2 linked regions of the Struthio camelus genome follow. The protein of the gene in region 1 purifies or fractionates together with the protein of each later gene. This does not show direct contact. Links are inferred from orthologs where the notes say so. Each region holds a gene or a part of one and is shown on either strand. Other genes may lie near its edges.

Region 1 (16,281 bases):
GTCTTTCTGCCTTAACCCTTCTTCTGGGCAGCAAGTTCTGCTTTAATGTCTCTACCTACACAGAGATGAGTGCTTGCTCCTAAGATGTGTGCAGGCTTGCAGCAGTTAAGTGTGTATTTTGAACTAGTGGTCTGAGTTTTTGCCAATAGCCTGCTCTGGGAAAAGTCATTTTTTAGTAGACCTTGCTTTAAGTTGATTGCGGTTAGACTGCTTCTGGCCTAGATATAGGAAGAGGGTTGTTAAAGGAAGAGAGATGCAATGTTCAATCAAGTTCTGAACCACTTGTGTTCAGATAAATTCTGTTTCTTGAGAAAGAAAGATGTTTTCATTTGATTCTAGAGGTATTAATGCAGGCTATGCCTGAAATGTAGGCTACTATTTTGTTCCTGTTTTGCTAGAATTTCAATTTCGTTACGTTCATTTCTGCTACTGGAAACCTGACGGGTTAGCTTTGTTCTATTGGCTTAAGAACTAGTTGGCATTTCATTTTTCGATTTTTCAGTAGTTTAAGATGTTATTCCGCGGTGTCTAAGGTTTTCCGTAATTTGTCCTTCTCAGACTGGGGAAACTTCTAACGGTATTCTTTCCGTCTTCCTCACAAACTTGCTGTGATCTTGGATGAATCCATTAACCAGCCTAGAAAGCCTTTGTCTGAACTCTGGCCTGGGAGGGGTGTTCTATATAGCCATGTATAACTCCTAGGGAGGCTATAGAAAAGGCTCTCTTTTTAGGGAGGCTATAGAAAGAGGCTTTGATTTCCTCTCCCTGCTGCCCCACACCTTTCACTCATAGGAAGTATTCATGACACCTTTCTGACTTCATTTTTTTTCCCCATTACAGTGCTAATGTGAGTGTGCTCTGATAAGTACCCCTCCCTTGAATTTCACAGGCAGTCACTCTGAACTGTGCGCACAGCTTCTGCTCCTACTGTATTAATGAGTGGACGAAACGTAAAGTGGAGTGCCCTATCTGCAGGCAAGAGATTAAATCGAAGACACGCTCTCTGGTGCTGGACAACTGCATTGACAGGATGGTAGAAAAACTGGATGCGGAAATGAAAGACCGTCGCCTTGCCCTTATCAGAGAGCGGAAAGGTGAGAGGTGGGTGGATGTGGCATGACGAGTACACTCTCTCTTTCCATATATTTTGTAGAAGTTTCTTTGGCACCTATATACTACAAAGATGCTCAAGAAAAGCAGAAGCAGTATTGGAAAATGACCTTGTATTTGTGTATGAGGCTTAATATCCCTTATTGGTAGATTCATCAGAAATTAAGATTGGGAAATAATTTTAAGGTGTACTGTACAACTAGCTTAACTATACAGTAAATTAAAATGAATAAAAAGTCTAGAAAAAGACTTCAGTGTCAATTCAGCAGTCCAGTGGGATGACTTAACTATACTGAAGGTTACGCTGTTTTGAAGAGATCTCTAAAGAAAAGTAAAACCATACAGAGCGGGCCTTGAAAAATTTACCAGATGCCTTCTGATTGATTAAACTATTGACTACATCAGTTTGAAAACTAGCAGAGCAATGCCTGGTGAGAAACTCAGAATTCTCTTGTATGTCTTAGGTATACCTAGGAGATCTGTGAAGGGAACGTTGGTCTGTCATGTAAGCGTGTGGCGGAACTGGTCATTGATCTCCCTTATGAGCTGTTGTTGAATTTACCACTGTGACTCGAACACACAACCTCTTGCCTAGTTGTAGCTAAAAGGCTCTTTATGACTGTAAGGGCTCTAAGCAAAATTCCAATATGGGGTATTCCTGTTCTTCTTCCATCTTGCAAATTGTTTTCTAGAGCACTCAACGCTGGTATCTAGGTGCTGAAATGTAGAAGTCTTTTTCCTACTACCCGCCTCTTAACAAATTTCTGTTACTGTATTCCCTTAAGTAACTGTGTTGTTTTCCCCATGTAGAGGTGAGTGCATGATCTTTTATTTGCAAAGTCAAGCCCTTTGAAGACCTTCCTAATGAAAGGTGCTTTCGAAATATTGCAGATCCTCCATGGTGACGTAGAATGACATCGTTAAACAGTGTCAGTTCTAACCTGAATTCATCACCTATTTAACCAACTCAGTCTGATTCCCTCAGGAAATGCTACACTTCTCAGAGTCTGTCCAGCCCTGCTTCATGGATTGCTTTCACCTCTGCAGAACTGACACTGCTCTTGCATAATATGCACCTCTGCAGAGTATGCCATAGCACTGTTGAAGTGTCTCATCTGGTAGCTAATGGTGGTTGGATGAAGTGGTGCCTTCATTGGAACCCACTTCATTTCCATATGGTAAACCAGTGATCTTCCTGCTTGTTTGTGATAGACACTCTAATTATATATAATGATTATTAGTAAGAATTCATATAGTTTCACCATGATACGCTTCAGGGGGAAGGATGAATTGTTTCCATGTGGTTGTCTTATTCAGTGATGGACACATCTTGAATAAGGTGAAGGTAGCCATATGTCTAGTTAGACATACACTCCTAAGAAGAAACCAGCTGTAAGATGGGCTGAAAAGGAAACGATGGTGCAGGTAGTACTTTGGAAGCACAGCCAGATAATGAGCTTTAGTATAACAGACACCCTGGGACAATTTGTACTCTTTATGTGGAGGTCTTGATGGGTCCTTAAGGGTGTCCTGAAAAAAGGCTACTTAAGTTTGAGGGCCCTTTATCACATTTTGTTCCTTCCCCCTTTCTTACCTGGCAAGACCCTGTATTAGCCAGCCACTTCCTTGCTATTTGTGCACCAGTGAAGGGATGCTGGATGTCTCCTTGTCACCTGTGCTATCTTAACAGGAAAAGACATATGGGAAATTAAAAGAACAACTTGGGAAGTTTTTAAAGCTGAAAATTGAGGGGAAAAAAAAAAAGAACATGGGATGCAGCTTGAAAGACCTATTGCAAACTGACAATAGGAAACTTTAAGTCTCAAAGAGAACTAGTAATTTAGCGGTGTGTGCGAGTAGAATGGCTGTCTGCTAATTTTTCTATCCATGTGTTTTGAATGCAGAGAAACGGAATGTGTTGGTGAACCTAGCCACGGACAATGACAACACTGTCATTTCCTCCATCTACTCCGTCTTGTCGACGAGGAGTTGTGACAATGAGAACTCTGAGGAGGATTCTTACCGTGATGATAGCTACTACATTATCTAAACATTGCTACTGCAGACTGATTTGCCTGCATGCTGCCCAGAATGAACGTAATGGTGTTTGGTTTACTACTGCTGGATGACTGGACTGGACAACTGGAAGTAGAGATTCTGTAAGGAGGCTGGAGCTTAGAACTAGCAAGCACTTGCAAGAAGGATCTTATTTTTTTTAAATGAACGTACAGAAGCTTGATCTCCAAAGCAAAATTGGGATTGCAGGAGAAAAAACTTGCGTCATGCTAGGTGGCTGACGTGCAAAACGTAGGCTTCCGTGATCATTTGTGACCTACTCAGCTGGTATAATGTATTAGTTTGTATGTATCACTGCCCTTTCCTGGGTGAATGAACTGTTTAAATGCGTGCATCATTTTTCCCGTATTTCAGCCAGCAGATGGAACGGCCCAGGTTATTTGAGAACTTAGTCATCTCCACCAGCAGACAGCAGAGGTATACCAGAAAAAAGTGCCATTGTGGGTTTTCCTCTTGAATTTTGTATGGCAGCTGGAGCTATCCAGGCTTCCCTGGCAGTAGAGGTAATAGTCCTTTTAAGGGGTAGTTATGGACCCTGTCAGGCTTCAATGCCTTGAATGCATTGTAAGCTGAGCTGCTGAGAAGTGAAAATGAGAACGTTTCTCGCTTTCTGTTGGGTAGGGATGGAGAAGATTGCATCATCTAGAAGTTCCTAGCTATTGCTATTTTCATCTAACATCTTTAGTTTGTTCCCTCTTCAGACTTTTGCATAAAGTGTTTTAGAAATGGGAAGCAGCACATCCAGAAATTATTAGCAATGACTTTAGTTACACGTTTAGTTCTTGCCAGCCGCAGAGAGGAACCTCAGTCTCTTCAGAAGCGCTGCTTTTTGAATTAATGAAATGTCCTGTTGATAGGGTGGGAAAGCAGCGTTTGTAGGCAACCACATGGCACAGAGGGGAGCGTTTTGTTTTATTGTTTACAAAATATTGCTGTTGAGCTGTGGTGTATACTACCCTCACAGCAAATTGGTCATGCCTAAGAGGCTGAGCAAGACTTGCCTCATCCTGTCAAGGACTGCGTGCGAAGTTCCATTTTCAGTGGCCTCTACTTCTGACTTAGGTGTTAGTGGAAAGGACCATTTTGCCACTGCGAGAAAGGGATGGGGGAAAACCCTTCTGATCTGTAATTTCTTTGGCCATTTGTATGTACTTTCTTGTTTTTATGTTTCTCCTGTTTAAGGAAGAAAATATAAACCCATTTCTGCATTAGTCTTCCTTGGTGCAACCGCTGAGACAAACATCTTTCTCCTAGTTATCTTAGAATTTTCAAGAGAACCCAGATTGTCTCATTTTAATGGCTCTGTTTGTGTAATGTTTTGATTGCTCTAAGCAGTTTTAGTGTTTGACTGTTTTTAATTTTGAAAGACTTACGTGTTCAGGAATTGATAAAAGACATCCCAGGTCTTCAGCCCTGTGCTAGCAGTGGCCACTCTAACGGTAATTTAGTAGATAAAATCACACCTCTTTATCTCCTCCTTCTAAAGAAGGATCTCCTTAAAAAGGCAGTGAGGTAAATGAAGGATGATGCTGTCCTAAGCAAGTAGCGCGTTCTGATAGCGTTCATTTGCTTGTTTGATTGGTATGACTTAAACGATGAAGAAATATCTGATCTGTGGGCCAGGCAACTTTGTTAAAATCTTAGTATAAGGTTTCTCTTGTGGAGCAGCTATTACACCTTGAGACTTCCTTTTCTCCTTTTAATATCTGTGTTCTATATGGGGTCTTGGAAGTTTCTGTTAGTGAATATATGCTCTCTAGAATATCTGTGAGAAGAAGGTTCCACAAAATGTTTGTGAAATATCCTGGCATTGGTGTAAGGCCTTCCTGTTGAAGTGGAGTAGAAGGAAAATACTCTGGTTACCTACAACTGCAAATTCTTCTACTGTATCTCTCTTCCATGTTGCTGTGCTTTTTTTGCTTCTTTCATTTTGCTAAATATATTTATTTTGTTATGTCAGTGTTTATATGTACTGTAGAAAGGAATAATGCTTCTCCTAGTTAGAGTAGTCCTTCAGTGTGTGCCTACTAAGTGTGTCGTCCCCTTTTCACTCGAATATAAAGAACATAAGCAGCATACTAAAACTTTTCCGCTGTTATCAGAGGGTGCATAGGGTGCAAAGCTCCAAGGAGAGAGGCTAAGTAGGAACGCTGCTTACTTGTCATAGCATTTCACTGACAAAAGCGGTCTTCCTCAGGAAGACTGTTACTGGACACAGAGCTGCTCACTAGACATACAGAAATGTCAGGTGAAGTTGCAGCTGTTGCCCTTCTGGACATCCATACCGCTCCTGCTGTGGTCTCCTGAGGTCTAAGGTCTGGGTCCTTTCTTCTGTTTACAGTTAATGACTAGAACCTTGTAGGGTCTAAAACAATTGTGCTAGCTGTTTGGCCCTAAATCAGATTTTCCCTCTTGGGGCAGACCAAAAGCAAAGGAAGATCTGGAAAACAAATAACGCAATGTAACCAAGGACTGAAAATGAGTTGAATTGCAAGCTTTTAATTGACTTCCAAGTTAAACACAGGGAACATGGGGAAAGTGGGAATGAGTCTAGGTTATTCAATTCCTTCATACTCAGGGTGTGTGCTTATGTGTGTATGTATGTATGTGAAATGAAGTAAGGCTAAAGGTAACAAGCAACCATTCAGTCAGCACGTCTCTAGTCAGAGGAAGGTCAGAAAAAGAATTTATTTTCCATTGAATGGCATATCAGTAACCAGCAAATGAGCTAAGAAAGCCAGTGCTGTTTTTATCTAAATCTTTATCTAAATCAAGATTGATTTTAATCAAATGGCTTATACAATGCTGGTGACCAGGGAGAAAAACAGTAGGCCACTGGCTAGAGTTTTGAAAGAATGGATTAGAGAGTACTTAGATTAGATGTTTTCAAATAATGAGGCAAGGTGAAATCAATCATAGAATACTTTGAGTGATCTCAGAATTTTTACAATTCTCTGAGAATCGGAGGACAGATAAGGTACTAGAATACTGAAAATAGATGCTGTACCTTTGAAAAGAAGGGAAAGGCAGAGATGAATTGTAGACCTGTGAGCTGAACTTGAGTTCTTTCTCCTACCCTCCATATCCACGCATTATTAAAAAAACTTTTTTATAAGCACATAGACAAGATGATGAATGATAAGAATACTCCACTACTCTCTTTGTCAAGAACAAAACGTGCTAAAATAATATTACTTTGATGGAGAAGTTAGGAGAAACTGTAAGTACCTTAGCTTTTTGTATACTTTTTGATACTGTGTCTCATAAGGAAGCTGTGTAAGGGTAATCTAAGTGAGACTAAGGTCTGTTCAAAACCAACCACAAATCAGTGGTGGTAAAAGGATTTAAAGCGGAGATGTGTCTTTCTCTTCCCTCCCCCCATGTGGTTCACTGTGAACAAACACATAAGTTTCTATGCTTGTGTAGGAGCAGTCAAATACAGACTGTGAACAAATTTGCCAGATAGCAGTTACGCAGAAAGGGATGAGAAAGAGTGTTACATTGACAATATGCTGCTGCTGTAAAAAAGTAGGTATCTGTATACATAAATGAGGATAAGTTGTGTACTGTTGGGTGTTTCTTCTTGTCTGCTCAGCATTGGTAAGACTGAGCAGCAGTAGTACTGTGCCTGATCTTAAGGACTATGTCTCGAAATAGATGTAGACCAACTGGCAAAACAACAACAGATCTGAGGTTCAAGAAACATCACCCCATGTGAGAAGGATTTAAGCAATTCCAGTCGTCTTTCCAAAAAAAGGGGAAAACTGAAGAAGTCGTGAGTCTCCAAATAAATCAAAAGCTGTTTCAAAGAGGAAGGGACTAGGACAAGAAGTGATGGAATTTAAAGTCACAGTAAGGAGATTTCCTGAAAGTGTTGTTTTTGGGGTTTTTTTTGTTGTTTTTTTTTCCCTTCCCCCCCCCCCCCCCCCAAAAGCCTGTATGATCAGATCAGGCAAACACCCATAGTATCAAGAGTTTTCCTCCCACCCTGTAAAAAAAAAAAAAAAAAAAAAAAAAAACCCGTGGCGTGTGAAGTACTTCTCTTTTGCTTTCAAAGAAGTTCAATCTGTGCCCTGCAGTGTACTGTATAATTTCTAAAGGTGCTGTCTTTACGCCACTGGAAACTATCTTTGGATCCATGAACTGAGAAATGCTGGGTTTGGATATAGTTGACATAGTTTTGGGGAAGAGGGAAATAGTAGGTGACTTCCTTAAGGCCCCTTTTTCTTGGATTTGTTGATACAGGCCATTTTCTTCCCCCCTCCAGGAAGGAATGCCTGGTAAAAAGGCTGTTCTTGAATTCACTGCCCGAACTGAAGTCACTTGGTTGGCTTCTTCCTTCTGAGTAAGTGATACTGTCAGGTGTGTTGGACCTTCACTGGTGACAGCTGTGTGCATTTGCAACTGCTACAGATTCTACACATAGTTTCAAGGTGGACATATCCTCCAGAGAAGGACGGAGGTTACAGAGGAGTGATTCAGTTCTTTTTTTGGTGGTGCTACTGCTGCAACTTTAAGATTGATCCTGCTTCTCTGAGTTCCATGAGGAAGATAGATATATATGGAACTTGTTTGAGGTGAGTCCTAAATTCCTATTAAAGACCGGCAAAGCCCTTAGATGGGAATTGCTATTGCAAGACGCAATACTACTTCCTTGTATAATAATGGTTTAAGTATAAACTTCTAGTACAGCATGTAAACCTAGCACAAATTCTTTTCTTCCTTTACAAAAAACTAAAGAATTTTAACTTGCAAATGAATTTGGAAGAGAATCAAACTTCAGTCAGTATAAATGGTGTATGAATAAGACAGCTGTGTCTGGTTTCCTGCCCCCCCCCCAAACAATCTAAGAACCTTTCTTATTGTTACTTGGTTAAGGGAATCCAGATATCTAGCTTTTGCTTTATAAAAGGAACGTACAATGAAATGTAATGAACCTCTTATGAAGGACTCCTTGTGTACATGCCTAATGGTCCTGAGGCCTGGGTTAGCTGCGCTGTAGTTTTCCTTCTTCTGAATGCCCACTTGCAGATGTCATGCCCTGAATTGTTCCTGTCTTGGGATGGCATCGAGCACTACTCATCTCCCATCCAAGATGAGGTTACAACTCTGAGCTAATCACAGCTGATCCACAGCAGGCTTGATGCAGGTTCAAGACGTGCTGTTCTGTCTTTCGGGAGATAGTTGTCGTGCAGTGTGATGATAAAACGTGTTCAAAGCAATGTATTGCTTCTTGACATGAAGCAAGAATAACTGGGAAAGGACTTGAATGCATTCGGGTATGGGACCATCCTGGGTGAGATGGTTCTTTGTTTAAACCTCCTGCTGTAGATGCTGTTGAGTGCAAGAGGTGTCTGGCAAAGGCTTTTCTCTTGCACGTATTATTATTTAACCTTGCAGATCAGGTAAACGCCGAGGCATAGGCTGCTTGCGAGAAACCTCGCGCCGCTCGTAGCAGCGATGACGTTTCCGGCGCGCACCTCAGCGCAAGGGGCAGGAGCGCAGCTGTTTTGCACAGCACCCAACGGGTGGTACCTGCGGCCGGGGCAGGCTGCCAGCGAGGGCTCCTTCAGAAGCACGCAAAGCAGGGGTGCTTATGCAGGCGTCTAGCGCTTCAGCCGACGTTTTAGATGTACACAATTTATATAGATTAGAAATGTATACATGTTTTCTGAATTTGTATAAATTTATAAATATGAGATAAACTGAAGATTAAGAAAATTAGATAAATATTAAGTTTATTAACAAATATAAGTCTATATTAAAACAATTACATTTTCATTCCCCCAGGGGGGAGGGGTAGGGAGGACCGCGGCGCCGCTCGCCGCCGCTCGGCCGGGCAGTGGGCGTTGCTTAGCGACCGGGGGCCTTTGCGGGGGCGAGAGCCGGGGCTACTTCCGGGTTGCGGGCTGTCCGTGGCGCGCCTGCGGGACGGGCCCCTCGGCGGCCGCGGCGGCGCGGCCGGCGCTTGCGTCACTGGCGCGCGCCGGCGGGCTGAGAGGCCCCGCGGGAGGGGGCGGGCCGGGGGCGGCGGCGGCGGCGCCTCAGAGCGGGGAAACGAAAGTGCGGGCGGCGCCGGGCTGGGTTCCCGCCGCCGCCGCCGCTGCTGCCGAGGGGCCGGCGGGGGGCGGTGCGGCCGGCCCGCTGCCCTCTCTCTTCCGTGAGTGCCGCCGCGGCCGCCCGGCTCAGGCCTCCGCCGGCCTCGGCGCGCTTCTCGGCGGGGGCTCCGCCGGGCGCGGCCTGCGGCTGCCGCAGCCTCCCGAGGGCGGCGGGGTGCCGGGCTCCGGGAAGCGCTAGCGGCTGCCGGCAGTTAGCGAAGAGCCCCCGCCGCTAGGTAGCGGCGGCGTCGCGCAGGCTTGTCCTGCCGGGGCTCCTCCGGCGGAGTCCGCTTGCGGCCGCTCGCGGTGGTCTGCGGGAAGCTGCGTTACGTAAGTGGCAGCAGCCCCTGGAAAGGCCGGGAGCGACCCAGAGCGCGTTATGTAAAACCGCGAGGGGACTGACTGCGGAACAGGTGCCGCAGCGCTGCTGCCTGCACACCCTGACAGCCTCGGTGAGCGACACGGTTAGGCACCGACGAGGTTTTTGAGCTAATGATTTCCGTGCCTGAAAGGGTGCCCCACGTTGGCTAGCGTGGTGAATTAATGGTGTTATTTGAAACTTTCAAGAGCTGGCAAAAGTGAGTAGTAATAAGGAGGTGCTTCCTTTCAAGAGGAGCTTGATGAGTTTGAGGGCTCATTTTCGTTGGCTAGCCCCATTCCACCCTGTAGACAGAGAGCGATGGGTGAGATGTACCTCTGGTTTGAATTAAAGCATCCCTCTTTATGGGTTAGAGGGCATAGGTGTGCATGTGGCTGATGGCTGAATTCAGCTCTACTTTTTCTAGCTTATGCTGTTCTTAAGAACAGGTGCAAGTCTTGGGGCATTGACTCAAATTAAGTGGGGTAATGTCACCTCGTACGTCTCCTGTAGTTTAGCTTTCAGTTTAATTGTGCACGCTTTTAAATCCAAGAGGAAAACAGGGGTGCTGATGGACCGTTAGTATGATTAGGAGGGTGGAGATCTTGAGAGGGAACTAGAAGGAATGAGCTAAGAGTTTGTTAATCAAACAAGACAACATCTGAGAAGAAATAGAATTGCTCTCTCAGCACATGGAAGATACTTAGCTTTCTTCCTTCCTTAGTTATTAAGCCAGGGGTCTATATTTGCACGAGAACAGATAAGCATGATTTGGCTGTGAGTGAACTTCTGGTGGAGGTGAAAAGATTTCTTAGGCACAGTGCAATGAAGTTCTGGGGTGGTCTTCCAGTCAGAGTCATGGGGATGAATACAGGAACTGATTTTAAGATGGAGCTCTGTAAGTTTGTGGAAATAAGTTTGATGACACAGGGTTAGAGTCAGAAACTTGGGGCACTTTTTCTAGTCCGGCGTTCATATGTAGAATAATAAATGTTAATTGTTTTTTAATCATTTGTCACCAATAGCAAGAAAGTTTAGCTAGTGCTGCAATCATCTGTGCCGGTTTATTTTCACCTGTTTTCCTATTTCTTGGCACATCTCTGTGAGCCTTCCCACCTAGGTCCTATTAGCTTAGCCTTGAGTGTTACTTCTTTCTCTGAATTTATGTGAAATTTATCTGGCACATCCAGAAACTTGATATCATGCCAGTGATGTCTGATGGTAAAAGCAAACAAATAGAAAAAATCAACCAAAAAAACCTCAAGAACCTTGAGTGTTTGTATTTAATAAAGTTTTGTTGTAGAATTAATGTGGAAAAGCTCATTTTGTAATTAATATTTGCATGGGCGAGGTCAGAGGTGTTGTGATCCTCTTGTGAGAAATGGATTCCACCTTGTGTGTTCCCCATTAGATTGATCTTACTTCCTGGTTTTTTGTGTTTGGGTAGAGTGAATCTTTGATTCAGTAGTAATAATTGACTGTTGTATTTTTAAGTTACGTAAGTGCTGAAACCTTGGTTCTCTTCAGCTGCTAGCATTTAATGGTGACTAGGTTGTAGAAGTGATTCTGAATTCAAGTCATTGGCAGTAGGGAAACTTCTGTATAGTTTTCCTGTTTGGTTAGTTAAACCGACTATTAAATAGGTGGTATCAAAAAAATCCAGTGCGTTTACCTAAAGGAAACTTAAGTTGAGAAGTGTATCACTGAATGGTCCATAAAATAATCTATGCCACAGTGCTGCTGGTATGAGACCTTCACCTTACCCTTCAGCGAGCAGGAGGAAAGTTAACTTGCTTAATGTTTTCTAAGTGTGATTTATTTTTATTTTTTTCTTTCAGTAAAAATGAAGAGAAGGGCAGAGCCAGAATTTAGCAGCCCGCAAAAGAAGCAGAAGAAGAGGATAGAAGACTTGGGATTAACCCTCAGTTCTACTTCAGATGATGAAACTCAATTTAGTAATCATATGACTCAAGGTAAGGTTGGAGATAGCGTGTGTATCACTGCAGGGAATCTGACTAACAGCTAGGAGCTGAACCTACATCTCCTCAATCCCAATTGGGCTTCAAAGGGCATATTTTCTCTTTAGGGTAAAAACAGCATTATTTATGTTCACAAACTTGAACTTACGTGTTTTTTTTTAAGCTTTTTAAACGTTTATTGGACTCTTTTTTTTTTTTTTTTCCCCCTTCTGAAGTCTCGTGCAGACACTTTAATCTGGGAATTATATGAATTCAGATATAGAAAATAAAAATTGGAGGTAGATGACCGAATACATGGTCCAATATCTGTAAAGATTCCAGTTATAAATTAGCAGCGTTGGTCTTTTCAGTCTCAGTGGATTTTTTGTTTTGGAAGCTTTCACTAGTGCGTAGTTGTTTGTGGCGTGCGGTATGTGGTGTGCGGTAATGAAACATCGCAATCTCCCTTTGTGAGAACAATTAAGTAACATTATTCCATTTTTTGCAGATGGGATGAATTGAGGTGCGTACAAAGGGTGGGTTGATTGGGGTTCCTAGGTTGTAACACCATCTCTCTCGCCCATTCAATGTGACTTTTCTGTAAGAGTTGTGAGAGCTCACAGGTGCTTGATTTCACATATTAAAAATGGTTTAGAATTAACTGTATTAGTTTTCTACCTTTTCCCAAGTTGGGTGTGCTTTCTCACCTTGGGCTTGGAATACGCAATTGCTATTCCTGTTGCAAGGTGCTTTAAACACTCCCGGGATGGCGCTTCACGCTGCCATATGCTCACACCTGTTACTTTTGAGTCTTTGAGATTTCCCATGGTAATAAAGTGATAGTGAGATGGGTTCTGGGCACAGGATTTTGGGACAGTGGAAGGCGGATGGGGGTGGAAGATGTATGGGTCGACTTGACTGGGAATAGGCACAATGAGCGGTCATGTATGTATCAATGATCTGTCATGTATGTGTATGCGTTTGGCAAAACCGGAGGTAAATGGGGAAGTTAGATTTGTGGGGTGTGAGAGTTGGTAGGGAATGCTGTGTGCGCTCAGGGCTGGGCTAAAAATTTCAAACCAATATTTGTTTTCCTCTTTTTTCCCCTTTTATGGTTATTTAGTTCAGTTATGGGTCAAAATAGGCTATGAATCTTAATGTTTATGAAACAAGTTGATACTGCTCAACGAAAACGTTTTGGATAGTCTAAATTGTTTGGTATTGTATTACACCCATTGAGGTTTCAGATGAAAGCAAGGTTGGCAAAAAGAAATAGTTTGAGATTTGATCTCATTGTTTGCCTAGGAAATGTTAAAAACAACAAGAATTGTGAGGGAACTTCCTTGAGATTTATGTAGTAGATGTTGTGTTTGAGGCACGTAATAAGCCTCTGGAAAATAAAAAACAACTCAAAATCCAGTAACAGAGCTGATTGAAGGTGTGGGTTGGGGAAGCAGAGAGCCGTAACTGGCTCTAAAGCAAAATCCTTTGTGATCCTCTTCATCTCTAAGAACTCTGAAGGAAGCAGAAATGTAGCTTCCTTGACGAATTTTTTGAAAAGTGAGATGGGCCTAAAATATTGGTAACACCAGCTATGTCATAGCCTTCCGTATCTTCAGCTGTAAGGTTGATATTGTAAATTTTTGCATGTTAGTTGAAGGGTTGCAAGACTTGAATCTTAAAGGCTCCATTCTCTGAACTGATAGTGCAGTTACAAGATTGATCAGGCATTGAAGAGATTTTAACTATGATTAGGTATTTCACTGCTGTCTCTTTCACTTTTTTGGCTCTTGTGATGGCCTTTCTACAGTTGTTTCCTGTTACTTGATGAAATTCAGTTATTTGTAATGTGAAAAATAGCGATCTGTCAGTTGGGAGAGAAAGACGCTGTGTTTTCTCTGAAATCAGAAAAACTTAAGAAAAGCTGAAGCCTTCTTTGCTGGTAATTTTGTCTCTCTCTTCATACTTCTGTGCAGCTTTTCCTTTTTAAGCGATAAACAGAATAAAGATGTGCTCTGCTAACCGCAATTTTCTGCAGTGTCTTAAGGAAACTTGTATAGTTCAATCTCTCCTAGTTGTATGAAGTAGCACAGAATGTTTTCTAACACTCATCGAACAAGGAAGGCTCAAGAGATGAAGGTCCATTAAAGAGCATGGCTAAGCCTGCAGTGAACTGCTGTTCCAGTAGTCTTTATGGACTACCCGGCAGCACTAACTTAGTGCGACTGCTGTGATGCTAGACATGTTTCAGGGAGGAAATTCATGCTATTCCGTCATTCTTATAGTGGCTTTTCAGCAAAAAAGGGGGAAGGACTCAGTGGGCTGTTAGCAGCAGCTGGTTCCTGCCGCCCCTTTCTCAGTCAGCCAGAGCGCTGCCTTTCTAGCCTGGAGCTTCCTGGTTTTGGATAAACTGCAGTTTGAAGGTTGGTGGGTTTTGTTGTTGGTTTTTTTGTTTGTGTGGATTTGTGCGTGTGGTGTGTGCTGTTGTTTTTGTTGTTGTTGTTTTTTGCTTCATCTTACCTTAAGGATGGATTTTGTGGGGCCAAGGTAAATCGCTTGTAAGAGAGGTCTACGTTAGTTTGTCTAGTATAACCACATGGAGCACCTGCTGGGATTAGGCTTTACATGGTTTTAGCAACCTTCTATATGTGTCACTAGAGCTAGTTGAGCCTAAGTGTTCAGCTTGCTCTGCACTGGGGCCATGAGCGTTTGTGATAATCTGGTGCAAATATCCTTAATGCAGTCGTGGCCTGGATAGTTTTGATTAGGGCGTTGGGGGAAGGTGCATACCAAACTACTTTCAATAAGGGAACGGCATTAGTTTTAGTGTGTTATGGATTTTATTGAAAAGGTTTATTTTTTTTATTCTTATTTCTGGAAAACCTTGAATGCATCTTTCCAGTTATCTCTTGCACCAGGCGAGAATCCCATGTGTTTCCTCAGACTGCTCAACATGCATCAAGCATGGTTACTTTTCCTGAGGAAGGGACAGAGACTCTCCATCCCCTCTGTGAGGAAGGGCTGGTGGTCGTGACTCCATCCTACTCCAATTCTGTAACGGTCTTGCTACTCTGGTAGAGGATTCTCTTTGAGAGATTTACTACTCTGTTTTTGCTGGAATTTGTGCCTTACCCTGCTTCCTTCATTTTGCTGAAGATGATGCCACACCTGGGTGTATCAGTAGAATCTAACCAGCTAAGGTACCTGTGCTGCTTGAAGCTGCAGTCCTATGCAGCATATGTGCAGGGTAAAGAATCAGACATATACTGACCTGCTGTTGTGATAGAAGGAAACCAGAAGCTTTAAGGTTAGCCCTTTCAGAGTAACTTTTGGGAAATCTTAATAGCATGGTTTTGCTCTAGAACGTAGCAAAGTGGAGCGAAGAAGTGGTTATTTATTTAGTGTTTCTAAACTGTGGCCCTCCGATCATTAGTGGTCCATAGCAGATCCATGTTACTATATTAAACTGTTTTCAGTTAAGAGCTTGCAAAAATGGGTAGCTTGCCAAAAGGCATGTTGGGGATAGCCAGTTGAGTTTCAGAAACACTGAATGTACTCGTAGATCCACAACGTTAATGATGAGTTGTCTCTATCCTTCTACGTTATTTGTAGGTTAAACCTTTGCCTGAAAGACTTATAGGGTGAGTAATGCCTGTGCAAAATTGATGTCTTCTAACCTTACCTTTCACTTGGATTTGTATGCCTCAGTAAACTTCTCTGGAGGTGAAAAACTGTCTCATTTTCTGTAGTGAACTTGGGGATCACACTACTGAAGTGGGTAATTGAGTCAAAGTGAAGTTTATTATGGGAACTAAAAGGGCTTAAATCTTCTGTTCTTTCTGCAGTATTAGTCATTTGGTGCATGTCTGTGTTTTGTGATGTGAATTTGTGCTTAGGTCAGGGAATGCGTTCACTCCTGTAGCTGGATAGGAAAATGAGGAGAATCCAGTATGACTGAATAATTATTGTTATGCTCAGGAGAGAATCTTCATGGGCTTTCTCAGCTGCCCGAGATCATTTGAAAGGTCAGATGCACTCTAATGTGCCATGATGGTCATGCTGTGGCCTTTTCTGCCGCTCTGATAGCGTTTGCCAGGCCTTTTGGAGTGTTTGAAATCCAGGTGTCTAAAATGCGTGTTACTGGCTGAGAGAAATTGTATGCATCCTTGAGACAACGGAATGTTAACCATTCAGTAGAATACAGTAGGTTACCAAGTACTGGCTCCAGATAATATTTATATTGCACCTGCATACTTCCTGTAACACATCTGAGATACTGAAGCATCCTGTCTGCCTCTGTGCTCGTTGAGAGGATTGGTAAGTCACACTTCAAACTTCTTGATGTGGTTACTGAGATGCTTTGCTTCCATTTTCTTCTCATTTTCATGTTCACTTCTCCCTCTCTTTTGTTTTCAGAGTCTTCCAGTAGCAGCAGTGGGTCTGATAGTGAGAGCGATGAAAAAAGACCAGTCTTCAGCAATGAGTTCAAGCAAGACTCTCTCGTGGAGGGTACTTCATCCCGCTACTCTATGTATAACAGTGTCTCCCAAAAGCTCATGGTAGGTCAAAATAGTTTTGTATGAGACTATTAAAACCTGATGAGTGCGTGAGGGCAAAGTGAAAAGACCAGTCTATTTTAAGAGATTTTCCCTATGTTTACCATTGAATTTTGCATGCCCGT
Region 2 (15,920 bases), on another chromosome or scaffold:
ATCTGGACTCATCTCCTGGGACATCTGTGACTTTGTACCTACAACATATGGCCACTTGACTGTTCCCTGACCAAAGTTGCATGTGCAGCCCTCTCTTAATTTGTTCTATTTCTTCCTTTCCTTCTGTATTGCTCTTTTTCCTCCGATGAAATATTCTCTCTCTGTTTCTCCTTTGTGGTATAGAGTTGATTTCTCAATGTGAATAACTTGCAAATTATTTGCAAACTTGCAAATCGGAAGTAAATGTGTGTGGGAGTACATATATAGCCTTACATGTATGCAAGATGGGTGAAGACTGCTGAGGACCCAGATGCACCCAACAGCAAAACTTTGACATGGCTACATAGCTGTCAGCTGTATATATTTTAGAACATTAGGATAAAGGAGGAATAATGGGTAAAAGAGAGGATAATGTAGTCTGAGGTCTGAAATTTCATACCAGTGTTGTGGTGAAGAGATGTAGGCCTGCATCCTGAATGTTCTGGGTTTTTCTTAAGTCAAAAGAACTTCCTTTTCACAAAAGAAAACTTCCTTTTCTTTCAGTGATTTGTCTTTCAGTCTTACTTCCTGTGACTCTTCCATCCTCACTTCAGAACGGTACCCCCTCTGAAAGTCTGAGAAGAGGCTCTGTTCAGAAGGCTGGATATTTCTTCATCTTTCGTCTTTCTGTTTCTCCTTCTCATCCTCTTGTGCTCTTCTGTCAAGGGGAAAAAAAAATAGTGATGTAGAGACATTCTCATACTTTATACACCTTACTCTTTTTCCTTCCCCACAAAGGGAGCACAATGTTGGCGCTGAGATAAATCTCAAGAAGCAGTAATCCTCCAGGGAGCATCCAGGCCATGGGCACGAGCAGAACTGGATGATTTTGTGAATGCATGATTGCTAGGACAGAATATGTCTTTAAAACTTCATGCTGGAATAAATTAGCCTTTTCTATACTGACCCTATGAAATAGAACACATTTCAGAAAAATTAAGTCAGGAGATCTATTTGAAAGCACTAACACTGGTCTCAATCTTAACTATCATGGAGCTGGTATAGAAAAGTGATTTGTTGTTAAGATATGATAAAGTAGATTATGAACATATCTGTTAGCTATTTCTCAGTATCAACTACTGAGAACATTTTAATTCAGTAGTATTAATCACCACGGCATTAGCCAGTGGTAGCAATTAGTCTCAGTTAGAATAAAGATGGGAGGTGCTGTGGTTACAAATAAAGCTAGCACAGGATATCTGAAAAATAGGCACTGGTTATTGTTCAATGGTATTTTTAAAGCACAAAGCAGAAAAACATTCCTAGATCCATCCTGGGAATTTTAATACATTATTACCTTTAGTTTCCTAGCAAAGTCCCTCTGCTGGACTATCCTAATCCTCCCAACAAAGCAGTTTATGAGTGCTCCCTAACTCATTTCTGTCCAAATGAGAGAGGTTAGCTCGAAATAGTCTAAATATCAGCTCTTTTTTAATGTGGCTTATTTGACAAAAGTAGATCAGGAGAGTTTATAAAAACTACACCTGTGGGAGAACTTTAGGGTTATAGCATGTGTAGGAGGGATATTAGAACTGCCTGTTGTATGCGTGCCTATCAATAAACGAGCAACAGCGGAGCTGCCCATATCTTGTTCTAGATTTTCCATTTTCTTAAAGAGTCCAAATAAATCTACTACTAAAAAAATGAGCACATAAGAGTCTCATTTGACACAATATCTTCCACAAAATCCATGGTGTTTCAGCCAGATTTTCCTACTTTAATCTACCCATAGATTAACATGTTTTGTTGCAGCCAATATTTTTCAGAGAGTGTTTTGTACTGAAGACTCAGTTCTTACCCTATTCCTCTCCCACATATAATGCTTAGCAGCATTTTTTTTTTTTTTTTTTTTTTTTACAGTGAAGGAAATTCTCTAGGACTCTTTGCTACAAAATTGCTCCAAGGTATTAATTCATTTCCGCTAGAATTTAGGGAAAAATAAACCTAATGTCAAATATCTGCATATTTCTGCACCAATTGCTGAATAAGTAAATTTCTAAGAATAGCTATTATTATTCATGTACGTGTATCCAAATTCAGCTAGAAGGTCACCTAAAAGTAGGATCAATCAACTAGTACAGAAAAACATATATAGAAAAAATTAGCTTTTATGAGAAAATATATAATTCTTTGGTCCTGATCCTCCAAAGACATATTGAAGTGCTGAACTTTATTCACTGTGAGCAGTGTCAGGCTGTTAAGTGACGTGGATTTTTTTCAGGGGAACTGGCAGCTGACACAGTGTCCTGTCTCCGATTGCTTGTCCGTGCCCCTCTGCTGCTCCATCTGTTATCCTTGTTAGGAAACCAAACAAGCTAAGAAACTGCTTTTACTTTGTTGTTGCTAGGCTATTTTTTAGGCATATCAATTTCACAGCCTGATGCACTGCATGTCTACCCAAACAACCATGCCATAACAAGGGACAGGGTACTGCAGAGATGAGGATGAGCAGTCAGGATTGGGAAGGTCAGGGGCTGTTTAGACAGTGCTGCAGCACAATGTCTCACCACAGCATCATTTACTTCCATGAAACTACTTGCTGCATATCAAAAATAACATAAGACTGGGCGCTGTATTATATATTGCGTGCACCATTGTATAGACAGAAGCTACTTCAAAAAAAAAGTTGTTAAAATTGCAGAAGGAAGCACTTATTTACAAAGGACCTGTGGCAAGCTTAATTCTGCCTCTCTTCTTATTGTAGTAGTTCTCTTACACATTCATAGAAAACAGAAAGACTTTAAAGCAGTGTTGCTTTGTTTAGGCCCTGTAGGCTGTATACGACCTAAAAAAGATGACTCCCAGCCATATTCTTCTCTGGAGGCATCTCCTACAGCAAGGAAACGTTCACTCTCGTGGTACAAGGCAGGGTCCAAGGAAACTTGAGGCCTGAAAGTGGGCTGCTGCCTTCTGAACAAGTTATTTGAATTGCAGTCCAGGTCCAAGATCCATTGTGTCAACAGTGTACTTCTCAACTATCAGTGTGCTATCAACTATCTTGCTTCCCAGTATTATTCAGATTTGGGCAGAAAGCAAGCACTTGCATGATAAATCCAACCTGTACATGTATAAATCAACTACACTATGCATCGAGAGCAGATCCAGTTATAAGACAAAGAAGAGGCTCACCTTTGCCAAAGGCAGAAGTTGCACAGCCAACAAGGTCACCGCTATACTGAGTACAAAGAAGAACTTCATGGAATATGAGAGAGTAGACAGTTCTTTCAATTAATCCAGATGTAGCTGATAGGATTTAAAAAAATGCTATGAGTGTAGAGTGTAGAGTTCCTCTTGTTTTCAGTTGAGAGACAGGTTGCTCAGCATCTCTTCAAAGGGAGTCACTGGCTGGAGTATTCTATCAGTTCCTTTGTTTTTGCAAGAAGGAGCAGCTTTAGCAGCACCCTGTGCTTTCCTTTTGGGAACCCGCTCACCAATTACAGAGAAGGATATGATTACAGGGTATGCTATGTAATCTAATAGCAACAACAACAACAACAAACTTGGCCAAATGTCTGCTCTTAACTCCTTTAAGGGTTCTTCTACAGTTTTCAGATTATACTAAAATTATTATTCCCAGCTGTGATGCAGTGATGACACACTAAAAAATGACCTCACAAGGCCTGGGCTTTATGGTAATAAGCCATCAAAAAGAGGAGGTTACAATCCATTTTGACACAGCTGGATAAATTTAAATCCAATTTCAGTGCTTTCATTGGCTGTGAGGACTGTTCTGCAAGGGGACTTTTAACACAGTTGGTTAGAAAAAACCCTGATTGTCTGGGAGAAGAATAAGGAAGCTAAATTGTTGAAAAACTTGGCCCAGCTGGGCAAGCTATGGAAGTTGCTGTTTATAGTTTGCTACATCGTGTTTCTAGGATATGATGGATTTTTATTCTGTATGGTTCTCTACTGCTACTATTTTGTTATATAGTCTGGGGCTTATTATGAAGATAAGGACTAGCTGTTAACACTTTGTACATTAATAACCCATCAAGTAGAGGTTATTACGTCACCTATTTCGCACCTCAGGAGCTTTTGTGATTTTTACTTTTTGGAACTTTGTATATTCTATACAGGCAATAGAAACTAAGCCAATAACAAGTGTCTTACACTTACACATATACTCAGCGTGAAGCTGTACCACTGGTAGATCCAGCATGCCTAACCTTACGCATGGATATGAGTGTTTTATAGACTGTATTAAAAGAGAGGACTTTTAAAAAGTCTTAAGGAGCTAACTCAATAGTGAATAAAAGATGATTGTACTGAATACAAAAGGAATGAAAAGTATATACCAAGATAATGCATTTTTTCCCTTTGTGGACATGAAATACTTGCAAAGAAAAAGCAAGAAAGAATCAAACTTTCACAAAAGAAGTGCTCCTACCAAAACATGTAAATTCAATGTAGAATCAATGTAAATTAGATATATAATCTAGTTTACTCAGTGATGATATTTTGCGTTTATGCCATCACTTCAGCTTAAATTCAGAGTGCTTAAAATTCAAAGTACTTAACAAACATCTACTCTTGCAAGGTTTCTTTGAGTGGACTAAAGGTGACCTAAGGTCTTAGCAAATGACTGAGAGCGGTAGGATAGCAGGCAGTTGTAGGCAACAATATCTTTCCTTTTAGAGAATGGGTTTTTTTTTTCAAAAGTGAATTGTCCCTCCGGTTGAAGTTCTAAGAGATACAGCTACTTTTAAAAACACTTCTTAAATAACATTAGAGAATGTGCACTTTATAGTTCAGGCTGCAGGGAAGGGCGGGTTAAAATTCAGCATTTTACTTTCTTATGTCTTTACTTGGTGGTGTCTCTTTCTGTTGCACCCATCCAGTGCACAGTCTTAATTTTCTCAGAAGACTTCAGGTACTTGGTTACATTTTTTCTCTTTGTAATGCTACCCAACTAAGATAGAGGGGATGCCATTGGGCTGGTGACCTGGCATCTATCCCTTTATGAAGAGATGCATATTCCTCCTTGGTGAATGAGGTATGGTAGCTTACCTGAGTCATTTGCTTCTGGTGTTTAAGGTAGCTTTGATAGCCGGAAGTGATTTTTCCCATCTGTGCTTGCACAGTGATTGCAAACTCTCTCTCTTTTTTTTCCTTCTTTGTGAAACACTACTAAAATCATCCTGACCTTTTTGACCTCCAAACTGAATTGATGTGATGTGTTCTATATGGGATGATGTTTGATGACCGTTCACAAATTTCAGACAGTATCTTACTGCTGATAAAGTCAGCTGTCATGGCAGTGCTGCTAGCTTCCTAAAGTGTACTTCTCAGAGTAATTCAAAGTTGATTTATATATATTTGAAGTGTTGCAAAGTTTAGTTTCTGTAATTACATAGAAGCTACCTCTTTTCTTCACTGCAGAAACTGAGATCATTTGATGTATTCATTTTCATATTTTTAAATTTGAAAAATTTGGAAGTCTGAGGTCTTTAAACATACTCTGATTATGGGCTCTTGTCTGAAGTATTCTTCTGCTGATATGACAGAACCTAAGGATAAGCTCCATTTACTCACATTAGGCTTGGGTGGGGGGAGGGCAGAAGAAGAGCTTGTCTGTAATGGGTGTTTGTATTTAAGGCTCCTGGGTATTTTACTAGGGGCGTTACCCATGTATATATTTATTTTTTAAAGCAGATTGCAGTGACAATTATCAGGACTACTTCCAGGTTTAATATTTTAAAATTAGTTTGCAGGAACTTCTTTAATATTATGTGTTATAGATTTTTTAAAAGATGGGTTAGGCTTTTAGTTGTTTTTAAAAAGCAAACCATAAATAAAAGTACTGGCAGAGTAAGTGCTGCTATAGCATAGGGAGCGTACAGCCTGTAGCTTTGAGCCTACCTCCAGCCAGCCATACAAGAAATATATACTGCAGAGGTTGTAGGGGTCTAACACTCAAGCTTTAGCAGACTGAACCTCCCTTAGCTGTCTGCCCTGCGATCCTGCTCGTTACTACTGCCAGCATTGCAGCAGCGAAAGAATAAGATGTGTGGATTCACTTCAGTTGCCTGTTTTGGCTTAAACCACTGAGGAAGGTATATTTCTACTGAAATGCTAGACTGGATATATCATATTTTCCTGCCCTTTGTAGACTTGGCAATCTCTAGCAAATGAGTGAAACAATTAGCTAGCGGCAGTAATATCTGAAATTGTGACACCTAAATCTGCCACACTTCTCTGTCAGAAACCGCACTGGTTCCAAAGTAGGTCTCTGATATAAAGCTTGTCTAAGACTCACGATTAGTCTTCCGGGGTGAACGCAATGCACAATCAGAATAATATAATATTTTAGAGATAACATTATTTTCCTAAGTCACTGTATCAGTTTTAGACGTTAATGCTCCTTCCAACCCAAATAGCACAGTAAGTATGCCCACGCTCAAAGCACTCTTCTCACTGGAAATTGCCTAAGAAGATTTTGATACCAAGGAGCATGCATTGTTTAGCTAGGGTAATAGATGGAGAGTTAAAGAATAAATGGTCAAATGGCAACTAATATAAGCATCTCTTGTTTCAGTAATCTAAGATTTTCATTCTTATAGATGAATATGAAAGACTTCTCAGGGAAAAAAAAACAAACTTGCATTTAACAAATGCCTTTGAAAAGGCAGAAAATGTGCTTAAATGTGCCCTATTTTACACATTCCTTTCATCCTTTAGGAATTTAATGCTTATCACTTTGTCATTATGTGTTTCCTGATCATTTTTTTTCCTACTGTCTCATCTTATATTTAGACTGTGATCCTGTAAACACTTACCTACATGCTTAATTTTGCTACTCTTAGTAATCTCTTTGAAGTCAAAAGGATTATTTGCATTAGTAAAATAAGGCATGTGTGTGCTTGCAGGATGAAGGCCTTAGATTGCAAACTCTTTGGGATAAGACCAGATTATTTATTATGCAGTCATACAGCTCAAAGCACAGTTGAGTGGAGGTTCTGTTCAGGTAGCTTGGAAATACGTTAATACATAGATAATTAGTACGTGGGATATCAGCCTGGGCATAGCAGTCTAGTATTTGCTGACCCCAGCTGACACACTGGATCTTTCTCCCTTCTTTTTGCACTTGCTGGGGAGATTCGGCCACAAGATCATTTTCAGGCTGTCATATCTGCTGAGACTTCCTCTTGTACCGCCTTCTAAAGCAGAATCTTGCCCTGGTGTTGGCAGCGTGGTAACTTGCAGCAACACCTTGAGTGGCTTTATGCTGCTGTTCATAGGGAGATGCTGTGCATAATCAAGATGTGGAAGAGTTGCTGTCTTCCGAGAACCACATAGCGCTGCACAGTGGTAGCTGCTCATCCCATCTAATACATATAATGCTTTCCTCTTCCTCTCTTTTTCCATTTTCCAGGGAGACACAGCCACTGCATTGTTTTTTGGCTCCCTTCTCTGATAAGCTAATTGTCTTCTCCTCGGACACTCTATCTCAGTAATCGTTTGTTTAAGACAGCCATCATTTAAAAGCCACTTTGTGAGATGTGTAGAAAGCCTTCCCTAGCTGCATTCTGTGAACACAGCTCTGTATTCTACCAGAGCACCTCAGATAATCTTGATATTTGGGATAGAGACTACTGTAATACTTATCCTCTGGCAGCCTCTAAAATAGGTTCCTCTTTCATTTTTTTGTAATGTAACTTGGAAAATGACTCCTGGCTTTGCACGCAAAACTCGAGATCAAGGTCCAAGAAATATTTATTTCAGTTGATAATGCTAAGCAGGAAAATGGTATTTTCATTATAGTGGTCTCTAGAACTCTAGCAGAGATCAGGATACCATTTTGTCATATTATCCAAAATTAGGAACAGGAATGCTCTTCTACTAAAGAATATACGGCAAGAACTAACTATTTTAGTAGTTATTCTGATAGAACTCCAGAAAATCTTCGGGACATGAAGCTATGGATAAACATTCCCTTGCTGAGCTAGCTGTACTACTAGGTCACTGCTGCTGGATGCTCCTTTCTGACCACTGCCAGGTTTGCTAGCAGAGCTGTTATGTGAATGCTCCCTTGCCCTCATAGTCAGATAGCGTTAACAAAGATTTAGTATTTAAAATATCTGAACTATTCTGACTGCTTTTGACCAAAATGACTGGGGAGTGCTCATGCAAGTAGTTCAGTAATGGTTGTAGTAATCTCTGGCAAGAAGGTTGTGAAGGGCAACGGGGAGCAAGACTTGCAAAGCACATGTCTTTCAACACTTGTCTAGGTGGAAAGCTATACCAATAGCAGTGCTTTCAAACTGCATCTTAAAACTACTACTGATCTAAAATATGAAGTTAAATCTCTAGGAAGGTGCTGGGGGAGCGTGAGATAGGGCAGGACGAGTGGAGATGGTGTCCAGCAAGTGATGTTATCTCTAGATAGTGACTGGATATATCAAGAATTGTACCTCTTAACGAAGCTAGAGTTAAGAAGTTAGAGATGGGCTTTTATGAGCTATGGTAAAGTATCAAGGGACTGCACTTGAAAGCTGCTGAGACCTAGCGCTGAGATAGAGCAGGAATGGCTTGAAGGAAGTGGGTGTGTGGGAGCAGAGGTGGGTCAGTCAAGCACTGAGTGTGCTTCTACCAGCATGGGGGCAGCCTGCTTTCTGATGCCTTGGTTGTTACAGGCCTCTCAATGTTTGCCTGACTCCACCTTCTCCTGCCCAGGCTCATCTGTGCCTGCAGTTAGAGTACAAATTCTGTATGTGTGGATGGTTAACCCAGTTCTTAAAAAGTGTGTGTGCAGGCTAGCAGGTGAGGAACACAGTTCAGGGGCACAAGAAACAAGTCTCTTGGAGCAGGCCTGAGCTACAGGCTTCTGCTGGCACTTCTGCCAGTGAAAAGTAATCATTACAGCTACGTGCAAAAATCTGTAACTATACCGAGAAAATAGCATTTTCACTCGTGTGTTATTTTGGTTTTAGGATTTGTTCTACTAAATGCCAGTGTAGCTGTGCTCACCCTTAGAAAACTTTGTCACAGCAGACAGGTCCTCTGGGGTTTGTATTGCAAACATGGGATTTCCTTGTACTGTATCTTCTTGCACAGACACCAAAGACAAAGCACAAGAGAAAGTGGCAGAAACTAGCAACTCTGTTTCTGGGTCTCTGAATGGCACTTGGACTTTTCTCCCAAAACATACTTCTAGTAATACCTACCTTTGATGTCTGAGTAGTTAAAGATGTGAAGTAGTAAATAGTATGTGCTTTTATAGCTTGCAGTTTAGATGCCACCGGTTTTCTAATCATTTCTGCTACTGCAGATGGCATGTGAAGGATCATACTCTTCCCCACCCAATGCTAGGGAAGTCTGTGGCAGCCTAAAATAGGTGTTTGCCAATACAGTTATCTGGTTTAAACACCCTCCCGGGAAACGCCTGTCCCAGGGCACGCGCGCCCACAGGGGCACGACCGGCTGGGAAACGAGTTTTGCTCTCAGGGCATCAGCAGCAGCACCCGGGCTGCCGGACCCTAACAGGGCGCTGGAGCCGCTCTGATGAGCTAGGGAAGGCGCCTGGGCCGCCCAGGCAACGCTCTCCGCCGTTTCACCGGCAGCGGGGAGGCCGGACGCCGCTCGCAGCGCCGAGCCGCGGCCGTTGCCCCGCGGCAGCCGTTAGAGCGCCGCGGCCGGGGGCGGGGGTGGGGCCGGGGCGGCCGTTGCAGGCGGACCCGCCGCGCGCGCGCCCGCGCCCGCCCCGCCCTCTCCCTTTCCGCGGGCGCGCGGCGGCTCGCGCCAGTGTCTCGCGCAGCCCCGGCGCTTCCTTCCGGCCGCCATTTTAGTTGGTGTGCCTGGCCTCGCGGCGCCGCCGCTGCTGCTGCTCGAGGAGCGGAGAGCGCCCCGCCGCACCCAGCCCCGGCCGCCCTCCCGCCGCATCGCGCGGCCGCCCGCCCGCCCGTTCCTCCGGCCGGCCGCCGCCGCCATGTCCAAGCGCCACCGCCTAGACCTGGGAGACGACTACACCTCCAGCAAGAAACGCGCCGCCGACGGGTGAGGGACGGCGAGGCCCGGGCCGCGCGGCCTGCGGCGGGTGGGAGATTACGGCGGCTCCCGCGTAATCGTCTGCCCGTCCTCGGCTCTGGCCGTTCCCCGCGGGGCTGGGCCGCCTCGGGTCGCGGGGCGGCCGCGGTGGGAGGTGGAAGGAGGGGTTGAGGCAGCGGAGGCCGCATGGCGGACCCCCCGCGCCGCCGCCTCGTCTGGGCAGGCCCGGGAGCCTCGGCGGCTCCCTCTGAGCTCTGGCCCTAGGCCCAGGGTCGGCCTTTCTGGCGGGACCGGGCCCCTCGGCGGGACGGGGGGGCGGATGGCGGCAGGGTGATGGCAGGGAGCGGGCGGGGAGGGCCTCGTGCGGCGGTGCTGGGAGGGGGAAAGAGAGGAAGCCGCAGGCCTAGCCGCTTGGGCGAGCTGGGTTGGGCTCGCGTCGCGGCGGAGCCGGGGGCGGCGCGCTGCTCGGCCCGCTCCCCAGCGCCCGGCTTTGTGTGCGCCTCTTTCATCTCTCCTCCTTTCTCTGTTTCTCTGTTTTTTTTTTTTTCGTATGTCTCACCCTCTTTCCCTCCCTCTGCCCCTGTTTGTTTGTATCCTCCCGTCTGTGGCTTGAGGGGTCTGGCCAGTCTGGTCCTAGAGGTCAGCGTGAGGCTTGTTCAGCCTGTGTAACTAGTACCTAAGCTGGCAGAAACATTATTCCTTTGTTAACAGCTTTAACTCAGTAACCAACAGGTGAATGGCAGATTTAAACTAAAAGTCGGTGTGGGGTGGGTTTTTTGGGGAGGAGGGAAAGGAAGTTATAACTCCCTCCCCTAAACTGCAGGAACTCGAACAGTGGGCTCGTGCTGTCCTTTCGTACACAGTGGTTTCAGTGCCTCCACTGAATCTCCTTTTGCCCCACTTCTGTGGGGGACTCTTAAAACAGACTTCTGGAATGTAAAGGGCCAGAAAAAAGTATTCTGTTTTATCTGTCTGTTCTTTTGGTGGTGCCCAGAAGACTTTCCTGAATTAATTCTTTCCTAAAGTCCAGCATCATTGTTTTGGGCTATGACATTTATCCTAGAAAAATAAATGCCTTACATTGTTTACAAAACTGGTGATTGTTAAAAATCAGCCACAGCAGTTAGTGTTCATTGATAAACTGTCTTTGCTGTTGAAATAGAACTTGCATTTTCTTTAAGTGTGAACTTGAGTAGCTTGAATTTTTAGCTACTAGAGTTTGATATATTTTCATCAGCTAAAGTGAAGTGATTGTTTTTATTGAACATCTGTTTATGTATGTAGGATCACCATAATCTATTTTTTTTTTAATGAAATGGATTGAGCAGCTTACCTCAAGGTGTGTTCCCCTGATTTTTCAAAAGCTAGTATAGCTCTTTGTGCATGCAGAGAGTCATACATATACAGTTTTTTTGTATATACAGATTTTTGTAACATCTTGAAATGGTGACGCCAAAACTTGGCATAATTTGAACCTAGTACAATTGATATTGTTGTGTAGATGATCGTTATTAGTGTTTCCTAGTTTGTATGTTGTAGGGTTGTGGGTTTTGGTTTTTTGTTTTTTGTTTTATTTTTGGTACTATTTTTATTGAGTATCACTATCACTCTGAAGCCATAGTCTTCCCATTTGGTATATGCTATAATTGGTTCCCAGCAGTGGTATAACTTTTTTACCACAAGTGTTTGATCTTTATTACACCTTTAAAAAAAAAAAAAACCCTATATAAGCTCTGGTTTTGTGCTCCTTTTGCCAACAAAAGCATTAAATGGCATGAGACCAAGAACCAGTTGCTATAAGCAGAATTATTGAGTATGATTATTACTTGAGATCTTAATTCATCTAACACATGCCATACTAATCTTACATTGTCCTGATTTATCCATAGGGTTGTTAAGTTTTACAGGTTATAGAGGGCTAAGGGATATGCAGAGAGTTTCTTGTTAATAGCATGTATTTACATATCTTCTGTGCAGAGAGCACCTTTATGCAATGTAGTTGATTTTAGAACTGGATTAAGCTAAATTTGAAGTGGCATGTATTCAGGGAGCTAATACAGAAATAGTGATTGTACCTTACTGACTATCTAACTGTAATCTAAATATTGTATCAAGATACCCTGTATTTTTTTACCTCCTTTTTAATTGAGGTCACGTACTAATATGTGCACTTTTGCATGGGAGTGCTGTCAGGCCAATAGGCTTGTAGTCGCCCATGTAAACTTCTTGAGTATGGGCGCAATATCTATTTTCTTTCAGCCTTTATGTATCACTGTTGAACAAAAAAAACTTCTTGAAATATGTGAATTGTATGGGAAGTCTCTGGTTACAATGTTGCTATGTAAAGTATGTTAGTGTCTAAATCTGCTAATTTTTTTCTAAGCTACTTCAGTAGCTGCATAATATCAGAGTGCTTGTGTGAGTGGGATGTATCACTCTGACTTACTATACCTTCTGTTTTCATACATACAGAACAGAATTTCTCTTTTAACTCTGTTTTTTTTTTTTTTTTGGATGAACTGCAGACTTTTGCAAGTGTCTTTTTAGTAATGAAAGAATAATAGTAATGTTCTATTAGAAATGTTTAGGCTATTTAACAGTGATTTGTGGTTTCACCTTATGTCCTGTGTTTCTCTTTTTGGTTTAAGTGCTTTTCATCTTATGACTTAGTGACTGTTATGTTTCTTTTGTATCTGTATGTATATGTATGTATTAAATATGTGAAAGCTGATAGGTGAGACTGCTTACAAAAAAAATTGGTTATGGAATTGGAGTTTGTGAGCAAGATGAATTAGATTAAATCAAAATCAGGCTTCTCTAAGATGATGAAGAGTAAGTTAAACGTGACCGTTCTTAAATGAAGAATTATCAAGTTGCATTTTACAGGAGGTTCAGTAAGTTCATATGACACCTTAACATGTCCAGTATATATCTCACCAAAGTCTGAGTGATCACTCCTCAAAAGATATGAGCTAGAATTCAGTTTTGTACTTTAGTCATTAAAATGCTCATCTGGAAGCACTCTTTCACTTACTTCGAACTTGTCAGTGATGAGGAAGCAGGCAGCATCTTTTTGGAACAGAACATCATTCCCCTTTTCCATGGTTGATCCCAGAAGTCTGGATGTGTCTGCCAAGTTTTAGTAATACCAAGAGGAGATTGGGAAGCCCTTTTAGGATAAAAAGTGCTGCTGTAGAACAAACCAATAAATGACCAATGAATGTTAGAGAGTAAATTTGAGGGCATGTTGTATGTCATGTTTTTCTGTGCTGACATGTAGTTGCCACATTTCTATCTTTCTTAAACCTTTTTGAAACAATAAAGAAAAAACAACTCCCTTGGTTAACCTCTAATTAGAGTTTTTGCCTTCTGAGATGTAAATAAAACTTGATAAGTTTGTTTTCTTAAATGCGGGATTGGGCAGCTGTAAGTTAAATGAAGTAACAGAAATGGAGGATTAACAAGACTTTCAATTCTGGATCATATTTGTAGTTTATTTACTGCAGCTCAGTGTTCTTGAGATAATATCTATACTTTAAACCCACACAAGTCACTGCCATCACAAAAGACGACAGGGCTGCCCCCTCTCTTTTCATGCTGTAAGCTTGTGGGAGATTAGATTAGAGAACTGATCTATATTAGAATTAGTTTTAGTGGAGATGGACTAGGAAGGGCTTGTTTTCTACAGGGCCACTGAAGTGCTGCTGTGAACACAAGGATAAAGTTGGCAACAGAGGATGGGTCTTTTTGTTTTGTTACTGGTGCTGGCTTATGCATTTTGAAACATATGTGAAGATAAACTCATCTGCTCTGTAGAAGTTTCTGACATAGAATTGTTTACCTAGTTAGTGAATAGTCTGCTTCTGAAGGAATTTTGTTGCTAACTTCATTGGTGTCTAGTCATGGTGTAAAAACCATTGTTATGTCTTGTTCTCTTTCTACCTTTCTGTCAGTGAAGTATGTACTGTTATCAGTACTGTTATTGTATTTTGTCCTGGTTTTACTGTACTTAAATTGCTTTTTATAACCTTTATTTCCTTTTCTTATTATGCTGTTACTGTCTTGTCACACTTTTTTATGTCAATATCTTCTGATATTTAAAAATGCTGATTATTAATAGCTGATTAACTTAAAAAATCTAAAACTTGATCCGTTTGTCTGTTATCGTTAGACTCTTCCACCCTGAACTGTAGTATTATGGCAATTAGTTTCTTCAGTTTGTAACAGGGGTAACTTACCTCTAGCAGAGTATAAGACCCTACCAGGTTCTGCAATACTTGGCTGCCATTTTAATGTAAACAGAGATTTCTAGCTTTTACAGTATTTGACAGTGTTAGAACTATGCTGAGGCTATGGAGTTTGACTCAAGCAAAAGATGCAAACGAGCCTTTTTAAAATTATTATTTTTAATTTTTTTAGGTAGTTCAGTGTCCCAAAGACTTAGGAAAGTCTATGAAAAGTGAACTAGGACAGTGACAATCAGCAGTGCATTTTGTTACCCTCCTTTCTTCTCAGCTGGGTCTATGTTAAAAGAAGTGTTTTTAGAAATATGAAACAAAATAATAGCTATTAATTATGACAGCCCCTGAAGCCATAGTATGTCAAACTGAGCTTGGTTTTTGGTCTTGCTTGCGTGCCTGTCAGTCTGGAATAGCTCAGTTAAGTCATGGGGTTATACTGGGAAAGAACATCCATACAGTCTGCCTACATTACGTTCATTTTTACAAGAACAAGAATGTTAGTCCTCCTTGATGTCTAGCACATTTTGAATTAGAATTTATAAAATCAATAATAATATAAATTGTTCTTGGCTGCATCACCTTTCCTATAGGTAGGTGTTCGCATATTAGCTCACTGATTGCATGCTTTGCAAGTTCACACTTAAAAAGCCTTGTGGAGAAGTGTGGTGTTCAGCAGCTTTCACTCTTGCTTTTAGGTGTGTCTGAGAGCTGGTGAAGAAGTGGACGTTTCTTACTACTAATCTTTTGATTTATACGTGTGTAAAATTAGTGAGGTTTTTTTATTTAGTGGGATATAACTGCTGAAGTATTGGGAAGTTTTGAATTTTATTAAAAGCATGTAGCAACAGTTCTTTGGGTAAAACTGGAGACTTCTTGCGAGTGTTTCTGTGTTTAGTAGGGAAAGTGTAATTACATGCAAAACCAAGTATGTGGAATTGCAAAAGCAAAGTGCAACTAAGATTGAGGCTAGAGATTGAATTTGGACTGGATAACTATAGTGAAAATAACACTGTTTCTCTCTTGCAAGTGCAATGAACTTTTTTGGACTTCAGCTTTGGAAGAAAGTATACTTCATGTTCCTGGTAGCAATAATAGGCAACTTCAAGATTACTTGAGGTTTAATGTGAATTATTTCCCCTTGACGTGTTTGTTTACTAGGTTCGTTTTGGCTTTGCAGTTTATTCTTAATTTAGATAAAAATGAGCCAAATACTTCCAGTTTCAGATTTGCTGGAGTGTAATTACTTTTTGTGTATGTGTGTTTTTTTAAGTTTGTGTCTCTCTGCTATGGTGAGGAGGTGAGGTATTTATATAGCTTCTTACATTGTTTTTTTTTTTTGTGCAACTTGCTGACAGCTGTTTAGGTAACAGAGTTTTACAAATCATGTAATTGTAACTATGTGACTGCTACTGTTTAAGACTTGGCAACAAAAAAAATACATAAATGCTGGTTGCTTCTAAGTGTGTGGTAGGAGGTGATATCAAAGAAGGCAGTACAACTGAAGTGACTGGCTTTAAGTCTGAGTTTCAGACTCTGCAACCTGCAAATCAAAATTAATTGAGTCACTGTGTAACGGGTGACTTTGAGCACATAAAACTACAAACTCATTGTGGGATGTAAGAATCAAACTTCTCTCTTGGGGCTCGTAGATCATCT

Evidence for each region.
Region 2: the proteins of CMTR1 (region 1) and DHX15 purify together in Homo sapiens (co-immunoprecipitation; 3 studies listed by BioGRID and IntAct, with this or other methods). This does not show direct contact. The link is inferred for Struthio camelus from reciprocal best matches to the Homo sapiens genes CMTR1 and DHX15.

The regions. Positions count from the first base shown.
Region 1 is NC_090944.1:104,622,493-104,638,773, forward strand, and holds the start of CMTR1 (cap-specific mRNA (nucleoside-2'-O-)-methyltransferase 1), read left to right. Parts: upstream 1-9,220; 5' UTR 9,221-9,346; intron 9,347-9,358; exon of another isoform or gene 9,359-9,736; intron 9,737-9,745; exon of another isoform or gene 9,746-9,862; intron 9,863-11,480; 5' UTR 11,481-11,485; coding exon 11,486-11,615; intron 11,616-16,016; coding exon 16,017-16,159; intron 16,160-16,281. Other genes in the region: E3 ubiquitin-protein ligase RNF8, read left to right, coding at 890-1,094, 3,015-3,160. UniProt on the Homo sapiens protein: S-adenosyl-L-methionine-dependent methyltransferase that mediates mRNA cap1 2'-O-ribose methylation to the 5'-cap structure of mRNAs.
Region 2 is NC_090945.1:67,267,860-67,283,779, forward strand, and holds the start of DHX15 (ATP-dependent RNA helicase DHX15), read left to right. Parts: upstream 1-9,691; 5' UTR 9,692-9,964; coding exon 9,965-10,032; intron 10,033-15,920.